Linked DNA regions of Macaca fascicularis. The protein of the gene in region 3 purifies or fractionates together with the protein of the main gene of each other region. This does not show direct contact. Links are inferred from orthologs where the notes say so. Each region holds a gene or a part of one and is shown on either strand. Other genes may lie near its edges.

Region 1 (3,517 bases), on a different chromosome or scaffold from region 3:
CTTGCTGGTTATGATTCTGATAATGTCTTTTTATTTTCCCTTATTTATTTAAAGGAAACAGTGCCACACATAATGCTGTGCAAATAAGCAATCAATATTTAATGTTTGCTAAATGAATGAATATGATGCCTAATCCCTGCTGGTTACCTTGTATTTTCATAATCACAATTTCCCAGAAACTGTGAAATTACTGGGATTGTTTTAAGTAGTTTGGTGATGGTTCCAATTTTCAACAATAAAATATAATTAATATCAGAGCCAATCGATTTTCTGTTTTTTACCTCTGACTGAGTTGACTGGTGCCCATGGAGTCCAAGTATAGTGTTAAGATAGGCAAATTGAGGCAGGAGGATTGCTTGAGTCTGGGAGTTTGAGACTATAGTGCACTGTGATCGAACCTGTGAATAGTCACTGGAATCCAATTTGGGCAACATAGTGAGACCCTATCTCTTTAAAAAAAAAAAAAAGTAACCTTTGAACTTCAAAGTAGAAAATTTTTAAAAGTAAATATTCTTTGATTTAAGTAGGCTTTTTTACTACAGTGTTTCTACCTTTGTATGATATAGTTTTTCTTGTGTAGATAAGTCCTGTTAAAGAAAATATAATATCCTATTTTACAATCTGAAGTTAGTAAAGGTGTACAGAACTTAGTTTTCTTTAAGAAGGTTATGAATTCTTAGCTAAATTAATCCCATTTAAAGATTGATTTACATGCAATAATATTCAGAAATATTTAATATATCAAGGACATCTTAATTGGACATGTTCTTGAGGTGAATTACCATACACAAGAATTAGCTCCTGATTAGTAAGACAATTCTTTTTTTTTTTTTTTTTTTTTTTTTTTTTTTTGAGATGGAGTCTCGCTCTGTCGCCCAGGCTGAAGTGCAGTGGCCGGATCTCAGCTCACTGCAAGCTCCGCCTGCCGGGTTCGGGCCATTCTCCTGTCTCAGCCTCCTGAGTAGCTGGGACTACAGGCGCCCGCCACCTCGCCCGGCTAGTTTTTTGTATTTTTTAGTACAGACGGGGTTTCACCGTGTTAGCCAGGATGGTCTCGATCTCCTGACCTAGTGATCCACCTGTCTTGGCCTCCCAATGTGCTGGGATTACAGGCTTGAGCCACCGCGCCCAGCCTTAGTAAGACAATTCTGGGAGGACCAGTTATAGGAATTGTGAATTATAGGGACTCTCTCATGCTCTGCAAAATCTGCCAAATAAGATCTGTTTTTCCCAATACATTAAAAATAACATTTTTCTCTCTTGTAGTGTGACTGTGGGAAGATGGAGGAGTATGAGAAGTTCTGTGAAAAAAGTCTTGCCAGAATACAAGAAGCATCACTATCCACAGAGAGCTTTCTCCCTACTCAGTCTGAAAGTATCTCACTTATTCGCTTTCATGGAGTGGCTATCCTTTCTCCACTGGTAAACTTGCTTTGTTTTTAAATAGTTTTTTTCTGTAGTGAACAACTAAAACAGTTCATGGAAAAACAAAAGAAAGGCTTATAAACATTCGAAGAGCTGCCCTTATTTAGAATTAGAGAAATGCAAATGAATTAGCATTTTTTACTTACTATTATAGATTGACAAAGAGCTAATAGAACCTTGTGTTCCTTAGACTGTGGAGAAAATGCACTTTTAATGCACTTTTGCTAAGAGAATCAGTTTATTTTATTTCTAGATGAGAGTTTGGTAGAATTTAAAAGCATACATAGCCTTTGAGTCAGCAGTTCCATTTTGGGGTGTATCCTACAATTATACGTGAGCCTAAAGAAGTAAGTACAGAGTTACATTAGCATTGTTTAAAATAGCAAAGGTTGACGAACAACCTAAATGTCCATCAGTAGTGGAGTAGTTTAACTGTGGTCCATTTTATAAAATCTCTTACTTACCATTACAGTAAGGCAGATGTAAATGTTGAGGCATGGAAGGATCTTGATGATCTAGTGTAAAACACTGTGTGCAGCATGCTGTCAGGGGCAGTATAGAGTCACGATTAGAGGTCCAGGCTGTGGACCAGGCACGGTGGCTCACATCTATAGTCCCAGTTATTTGAGAGGCTGGAAGGGAAAGGATTGCTTGTGACCAGGAATTCAAGACTAGCCTGGTTAACATAGTGAAACCTCATCTCTACAAAAACATTTTAAAAAATTAGGCAGGCGTGGTGACATGTGCCTGTAGTCCCAGCTACTCGAAGGCTAAGGTGGAAGGATTCCTTGAACCTAGGAGTTCCAGGCTACAGGGAGCCAGGATTGCGCTGTTGCCTGGGCTACAGAGCAAGACCCTGTCCCAAGAGAAGGAAAAAATCTCCAGCCTGGGCTACAGAGCAAGACCCTGTCCCAAAAGAAGGAAAAAAAGAAAAACAAAAGCCTAGGCTCTGGAGCCTTCTGGCCTGGTCCAAATCATTGCTTTGCTACTTACTTGCTGTGTAAACTTGTGGCCCATTTTCTTATTTGTTAAATGGGGATAAAATAGTGCCTATCTCATAAGGCTATTTTGAAGATTAAATGAATGCATAGTTATAAAATGGTTAGAATACCACCTGGATCATAAGAGGTACCCAATATAAGTTAACCATTTGGGTTTTTTAAAGGATGGCTATTCCTTTTCTGGGGAGTGGTGAGAGAATATAGGATAATAGGGAAGACACTTCATCATATACCGTTTGATACTAATTGGATATTTTAAAATGTATATGACTTTATTTTAAATCACAAACTAATATTAGAAAAAAGTGAGCTTTAAATTTATGTTTTGGTATAACAGGAGTTAAGAGATTAATTTTAATTAATTTAATTGAATTTTTTTTTTTTTTTTTTTTTTTTTGAGACGGAGTCTTGCTCTGTCACCCAGGCTGGAGTGCAGTGGCCGGATCTCAGCTCACTGCAAGCTCCGCCTCCCGGGTTCACGCCATTCTCCTGCCTCAGCCTCCCAAGTAGCTGGGACTACAGGCGCCCGCCACCTCGCCCGGCTAGTTTTTTGTATTTTTTAGTAGAGACGGGGTTTCACCGTGTTAGCCAGGACGGTCTCGATCTCCTGACCTCGTGATCCGCCCGTCTCGGCCTCCCAAAGTGCTGGGATTACAGGCTTGAGCCACCGCGCCCGGCCAATTTAATTGAATTTTTAAAGACACCAGAGCTAACTGCCAACTTTTTGTAATGAAACTTTCAAATATACAGCAAAATTGAAAGGATAGTGCAGTGACCTACCGTAGATTTACCATTAGATTAAACAATATTTAACATTTTTGTCATCTTTGCTTTATTGTGTTTGTGATTTTTATATACATGTATGTGTGTGTGTACATACATACGTTTTAAAAAATTGCCTAGCTATTTGAAAACCACAAAGACCTAACACTGCTTCCCTAAATATTTTGGTATACATCTCTTAAAAATAAGGACATTCTCATATATAAAGCCCCAATACCATTATCACATCTTAAGAAAATTAATAATTTTTAATAATGTCTAATAATTCTGTTCATATTTAAATTTTTCCATTTGTGCTCAAAATGCCT
Region 2 (3,517 bases), on a different chromosome or scaffold from region 3:
TGAACTAGTGATGCACAGTAATCAGAACAAACTAGTCTTTATCAAAGTAAACATTTACTCTCAATGCTACAATGTCACCATTCTCAAAAAGCCTGGAATACAAAAGCCTTCACATTTTTCTTAATATCTGACCTGAGGTCATTTCCAAGAGTGGTTTTGTTATGAGGAGCCTAATGAAAGTGGGCTACAGAGACTCCTGAAAGTAAAAAATTACTTGTTCTCTTTCATTAGTATTTTCCCCTGGGAAGCTAAGGATTAATCCATTCTATGCTCTTAGAAAAGTTTAAACTAAATTACAAACTGGAAACTTATATTACAGTTGGGTTTATCCTTTTTTCCAGTGTGTATTATGAAAAAAAGAGTGATTAGCATTAGAAGGAAGAAATAAGGACCTAATAAGCCTGTTAGGCAGTAAAGTTGAAAAATGTTTGTCTCTAGTTGTAGCAATTCTGAGATTATAAAAACTAATAATTTTTTTTTAAAAGAAAGAAACAAAGTAGTCATATGAACACATGACGCACCTAAGAACTTGAAGCTCCTGTTTGAGGCCTTGCTCTGTCTCAGCACCTTCAGGAACATGTTTAAGAATCTTAATCTTTGGGGACAATGAAAAGTTAGAAGATAACTTTGGAAATACGAGGATTTATAAAGATACACATTTTTAATAAAGCATAATATTAAAATCTGGTTTTCAAAAGCATGCATAGGCAAATTTCTATGTTCTATTCACCATTCTTTCAACAAGTATTGAGTAACTACTGCATAACTGGCATTGTCCTAGGCACAGAGGCTACAGCAGTGAACAAAATAGGTAATGTTCCATCTTGCATGGTCCTCATTTAGTGTGGAAACAAAGAATGTGTATGTAATATGATATGATATAATAATAGTGCCAGATGGTAGGAAGAGCTATCAAGAAAAAATAATCCAGGGTAAGAGGATCAAGAGTGATGGCAAGTAGTATAGGGTTAGGGTTAGGGTTAGGGTGAGGAAGGTCTCTCTGAGGAGCCTCTATTTCAGCAGAGACATGAAGTCTGGGAGGAAGCTATGAGAATATTTGGGTGAACAGTATTCTAAACAAAGGAAACAAGTGTAAGGACTTAACGCTTAAACGAGTTTGAATTGTTTAAAGTACTGAAAGAAGGTTAATGTGGTTAAAACATTGTGAATGAAATGAAGGGAAAAGTGGTAGAAGATGAGATTGGGAAGAAAACTGGGTACCAGACCTCATATATTGTTTTGGGATACGAAAAGTACTTTGAAGTTTTATTTTAGGGTGATGGAGAACCACTGGAAGATTCTGAGGATAGGACTTTGTGCTTTGTGATGTGCTTTATGTTTTAAAAGGGTTACCTGGCAACTGTGTGGAGACAGACCAGAAATAGAAATAGAGTGAAATAATGCAAGAGTGGAAGCTGAGATACCAGTTTGGAAATTATTGTAGTTATTCAGGTATAAAACAATAGCCTGGACAAGACTGGTAGTGATGTCTCAAGATGCCAAGAAGTGGTCAGATTTGGGATATAGTTTGAAAATAGAGCTGACATGATTTAACGATTAAAAAAAAAGATGTGGAGAATGAAAAGAATGAAGTCATTGATGATCCAAAGTTTCTGGCTTAAGCAAATAGGTGAATGGGGTGCCCTTCAGTTAGATGGGTCTTCTTAATCGAGTCCATTTTTATCTATAGAAGACAATGCAAGGAACATCCTGTGATATTATGCATTATTTTATCATGTAAAGAAAAATTACATTACTTACCTGTTCTTCAAGGTCTTCAGTGTATTTCTTAACTTTTTGTTCTCTCTCTGTTGCTTCTTTTACAAGCTGTTTAAGGTCAGTAATGCTTTGATTTTTTTTGGCAATATCAGTTTCCAATTCTTTTAACTTGGTTTCATACATTCTAAAAGTATAAGGAAAAAAAGTATAGACATGGCAAATAATTTATGTCACTGATTTAAAAGTCAGTTCAAATTACCGTACTAGAAATAAGCAAGAATATCTTATTTTAGCCGGGCGCGGTGGCTCACGCCTGTAATCCCAGCACTTTGGGAGGCCGAGGCGGGCGGATCACAAGGTCAGGAGATCGAGACCACGGTGAAACCCCGTCTCTACTAAAAATACAAAAAATTAGCCGGGCGCGGTTGTGGGCGCCTGTAGTCCCAGCTACTCGGGAGGCTGAGGCAGGAGAATGGCGTGAACCCGGGAGGCAGAGCTTGCAGTGAGCCGAGATCGCGCCACTACACTCCAGCCTGGGCGACAGAGCGAGACTCCGTCTCAAAAAAAAAAAAAAAAAAAAAGAATATCTTATTTTACTGTTTTGTCTAGTCAAGGTTTTCGCTACATATTTATTTACCATTAAAATGGTGGTGGCAAGAGATAAGGTATCCCTAATTAACAGATGGCCCATTCAAAATAAAGAATTTGGGTATTTTCCAAGATTATAAATAAGGATGGAGCCTGATTTGACCATTTTAAAATTAATACCTTTTTTCAATCACAAAATAAGAAAATACAAAGTAAAATTCTTCGGAATATAAAATTCTATATTACTAGATATTCTTAGAAATATAAAGATGGCAAATAAAAAGCTTTTCTCACATATACAGACATACATAGGAGGTATACAGAAAAACACTACAGGGAGAGGAAAAAATTGTGCAAAAGCATGGGTGAGAAAAATAGTATCTGATGGGAGAGGGATAAAGCTTGTAAAAATCTGAATAGATTTATAATCATTAAAGAAACAACAGTTCAAAAAAATACAGACTCCAGAAAAAAATTTCATAATTGAGCCAAACAGTTCTACTGGTTCATCATACCTAAAGAAATATAATGCTTACAATATCCAAACTTTTCCAGAGAAATGGATAGAAAGACTGCATTCTAAGTTAAAATGGCCAGTATAGCTTTGGTAACAAAATCTGCTAGGATAATACAAGAAAGGAAAATAATGATTGTCTAAACACATTCAAACAGCTTTTGATAGATCCTAGAAACTTAGATTAGAAGGGAATGTTTTTAACCCGACAGAGACTATCACAGATCTACCACAAGTAAATGGTGAAATATCAGAAGCTTACTCCTTCACTTCATCTAATTTTCTGTTCAAAAGCCACCCAAGCAGAGAGGGCCTCTCTGATCACCCTATGTAAAACTGCCCCCACATCACCCTGGTTTGTCCCAGCAGTCAGGAAAAGGCCTGACATAGAATATGTGTTAATAAGTTTGTTGAATGAATAATAATGCAACTATAAGGATGTCAGCATGAGCAAGATCTGTGTCATGGGTCCCAAAACAGATCTTTCTAAACTGCTTTATTGAGAAAGGTGTATAATCCTCCCAGATTTAAACTTTAGTGAATTTTTTTCCTTTTTCTTTTTCTTTTTTAACAGATTTAGGGAACCTGGAGGTCAACGATCAAAAGGAGCCTCTCTCTGTCAAGAGATTTCTACTTAGACTTACGTCTTCTGCAAATGGTTTACCGAAGGCTTATGGTATGCTCAGTGACCTGTAT
Region 3 (3,517 bases):
GGAAGACCCCACGGCCCCGCAGCAGCCAGGCTGCCCGTTTGAGGGCACAGGCAGAAGCAGGGAAGTTGAGCCTCTCAGGCGCGCAGGTGATGACTCCCAGGACAAGGGAAGATGTCCACTGTCGGTTTAGGAAATCTATCCGCACCTGGGGAAGAAGGAACTACTCCATAATCACAGCCTCCTGGGAAGAACCAGGCTCGCTACCCACCCCCCCCCACCCCCCCGCCAGGGAGGGAATACTGCACCTCCCAGAATGTGGCCTGGGATGCTGCCTTTTCTTATGCATGGAAGGACCAGAAAATGCAAATTTAGTTGTTTCTTTCCCTTTTTTTTTTTTTTAATAATAATAAAAAAAAGAACCATCAGCCGGCATGGTGGCCCACACCTGTAATCCCAGCACTTTGGGAGGCTGAGGCGGGTGGATCACCTGAGGTCAGGAGTTTGAGACCAGCCTGAGCAACATGGCGAAACCCTGTCTCTACTAAAAATACAAAATTAGCCAGGTGTCGTGGCACATGCCTGTAATCGCAGCTACTCGGGAGGCTGAGGCAGGAGAATCGCTTGAACCCGGAAGGTGGAGGTTGCAGTGAGACGAGGTCGTGCCACTGCATTCTAGCCTGGGCAACAAGAGCACAACTCCATCTCAAAAACAAAACAAAACCAAACCCTGTTTGAGCCGTGACCTTGCTGTTGCCTCTGTAACGATCTGTCAGGATTCTTATTCGTAGGACTTCCTTCATCTAGCTAGCTTTTTTTTTTTTTTTTTTTTTTTTAGAGACAAGATCTTGCCCTGTCTCCCAGGCTAGAGTGCGGTGGCGTGATCTCGGCTCACTGTAACCTCTGCCTCCCAGGTTCAAGTGATCTTCCCACCTCAGCCTCCTGAGTAGCTGGGATTATAGGCTCGTGCCACCATGCCTGGCGAATTTTTGTATTTTTTTGCAGAGACAGAGTTTCGCTATATTGCCCAGGCTGGTCGCAAACTCGTGAACTCAAGCGATCCGCCTGCTTTGGCCTCCAAAAGTTCTGGGATTACAGGTATGAGCCACTGTACCTGGGCTCATCTGGCTAACTTTGATATATCTTTCAGTTTGTAGCAAAAAGGCACCTTCTTCTGGAAAGCCCTCTCTGCTCCCACATATAGGATCAGGCATTTCCCTTGGACTCCTCCAGCCTGTCCCTACTGCTTCCCTCACCGATCGCCAGGTAGGGACTTCGTGGTAACTGACTGACAAACCCCATTACAGGCTATGAATAAAAGCCCAGAAAGCTCATCCAAGTGGCTTGCTTTCTTTTTCTCCACCCAAAAAGGCCTTTCTTCAGGAGGGTTGGCCATGGGTCACTGTGGAGCGAGAGGAGCTGGGGACAGGGAGGGAGAGCCCACCTGGACCAGCAGCTGGGGCACCAGAGGCTGGTTGATGACAACGATGCCCTGATTGTAGCTGGCCACCCGTGTGGCTGTACGGTTCCCATTAGACAAGAGGATATTCTTCCCGTGGTTCTCCAGGAACTCGAGGGTGGTGGGTATAATACCCACTTCATTCTGGCCCTGGTGTGGAGGAAGAGACTAAGCTGCATGGGTTGCCAATGCCAGGACCGACCCACCCCACTGGAGTTTGCACAGACCCTGAGTGTGAGCCTCCACCCAACGATCAGAGAACCCAAAAAAGGCCTGGCATCCAACGGCCCAGCAACTGCCCATCCACGTGCACAGCAGGCCATGCTGCAGCCTCTTACTCCCAGGCCATGCTCCTCGCCCTCGTCATCCTCCTCGCCCTCACTGCCGGTGTCTGAACTGGGGGAAGGAGGCTGGGTGCCTTCTGACTCCTCCAGCCTTGTGGAACTGACAATCGACACACTGCGGACTGGCCCGTAGAGATCCAACACAGCCCACACGTTCTGGGAGGCACACAAGACCCAGACAAATCAGAGATCAGCGGAAGACCTCAACCATCCTCCCAAAACCCAAGGAAGCATTCAGGTCTACCTTGGCAATGCCAGTGGCTGCAGGCCCCATATCCTCTCCATCCACCAGGATGTGCATCGTGTCATCTGCCCCCCGACGAACACCCACACGGCTCCCCACCTAGGACCAAGGCAGGACAAGGACAGATGATGCTCAGCCCACCCCTCCCTGCCACCGCCACTCCCAACCCCTCCCCTGTCCCTGGAGCCAGCCACTTCACCCCCAGCCTCTCTAGGTTCCGGCCATAGTTCATCCTCTGGAGCTGCCCATCACGCCTCACTTCACAGCTGGATACCATCCAAGTGGTCTTCGTCCGGAGCTCTGGCAGGGAAGGAGGCAGCCCTGGGCCACTGCCACCTGCTCCGGGTCCCATCTCCCCCGGGGCTAGTGTGGTCAGTCCCAGCCGCAGGGAACCTGCCCACTTCTCATCTAGCTCTTCCACTTTCACCTATGAGACAGAGACAAGATGAGCTGGCCCTGTGGCGATGGGCCTGGCAGCCCCTCTGTCACATCGCTACGGCCTACCTCAAAGACTTCCTCAGCCCTCAGCTCCTTGGTACTGAAGACAAGACCATGAGCATAGCCAGCGGCACGCACCGCCCTCGTGCCATCCTCCTCTAGAGTGACATTCTTGCCGCAAGTACTGTGGAATCGGTGAGCCACGCCAGCCACTGTGAAAAGATGGCACCAGAGGAAGGGGTAGGACTGGGGCAGCAAGCTTCAGATGGAACAGAGCAAAGCTTTCAGATGAAACGAGATGGGGACACCAACGCCCCATCTGCCATCTGCCATTACTCCTCAGGGCCTCCTGACACCTCTTTATTGTATTTTTTTTTTTTTTTTTTTGAGGCACGGTCTCGCTCTGTCACTCAGGCTGGAGTGCAGTGGCACAATCACGGCTCAGTGCAGCCTCAACTTCCTGGGATTCAGCGATCCTCCCACCTCAGCCTCCCAAGTAGCTGGGACCACAGGTGCACGCCACCACAACTGCTTAAATTTTGTATTTTTGGTACAGACTGGGTTTCGCCGTGTTTCCCAGGCTGGTTTCAAACTCTTGTGCTGGAGCGATCCACCCGCCTTGATCTCCCAAAGTGCTGGGATTACAGGCATCAGCTACTGCGCCCAGCCCTGATACCTCTTTTCACCACAGCAAGACTCATTTCCAAACCTGGCATGCTCAGTTGATGGTGTCCTGGCCCCTTGGTGGCAGGGAAGTGTCCAGGCTCTAAGTACCAGGTGTAACCTCCCCCTTACTGGCTGCTTGCCACCGTGGGCTGTCCCTTCCCTTGAGCCGGCAGCTACCCCAGCCAACCGTCTTTGCACAGCTGCTGTAACCTGGAAGCCCTACTCCTCAGGCGCACAGCAGGCAAGCAGAGCCCATCCAGCCCCCGCCCGGCTGCCGCACCTGGGGAGTGCAGTGGGAAGGACTTCTCGGTGGCAGTGTTGCTGGTCGCCAGGCTATTGTCCATGGGGCCGGTGGCATTGGTGATGGACACTTGGACACACTGGCCATAGAGATCGACTACTGCATACACCTCTGGGGAGGAGAGGGAA

What was found.
Region 1: the proteins of NEURL4 (region 3) and CCP110 purify together in Homo sapiens (affinity purification with western blotting; 4 studies listed by BioGRID and IntAct, with this or other methods). This does not show direct contact. The link is inferred for Macaca fascicularis from reciprocal best matches to the Homo sapiens genes NEURL4 and CCP110.
Region 2: the proteins of NEURL4 (region 3) and CEP290 purify together in Homo sapiens (affinity purification with mass spectrometry; 3 studies listed by BioGRID and IntAct, with this or other methods). This does not show direct contact. The link is inferred for Macaca fascicularis from reciprocal best matches to the Homo sapiens genes NEURL4 and CEP290.

Annotation. Positions count from the first base shown.
Region 1 is NC_088394.1:19,072,982-19,076,498, forward strand, and holds part of CCP110 (centriolar coiled-coil protein of 110 kDa), read left to right. Parts: intron 1-1,266; coding exon 1,267-1,422; intron 1,423-3,517.
Region 2 is NC_088385.1:94,988,415-94,991,931, forward strand, and holds part of CEP290 (centrosomal protein of 290 kDa), read right to left. Parts: intron 3,498-3,517; exon of another isoform or gene 3,460-3,497; coding exon of another isoform or gene 3,396-3,459; intron 1,904-3,395; coding exon 1,762-1,903; intron 596-1,761; coding exon 522-595; intron 1-521. UniProt on the Homo sapiens protein: Involved in early and late steps in cilia formation. Its association with CCP110 is required for inhibition of primary cilia formation by CCP110.
Region 3 is NC_088390.1:7,376,118-7,379,634, forward strand, and holds part of NEURL4 (neuralized-like protein 4), read right to left. Parts: intron 3,501-3,517; coding exon 3,369-3,500; intron 2,635-3,368; coding exon 2,489-2,634; intron 2,412-2,488; coding exon 2,184-2,411; intron 2,084-2,183; coding exon 1,985-2,083; intron 1,897-1,984; coding exon 1,735-1,896; intron 1,547-1,734; coding exon 1,382-1,546; intron 146-1,381; coding exon 1-145. UniProt on the Homo sapiens protein: Promotes CCP110 ubiquitination and proteasome-dependent degradation. By counteracting accumulation of CP110, maintains normal centriolar homeostasis and preventing formation of ectopic microtubular organizing centers.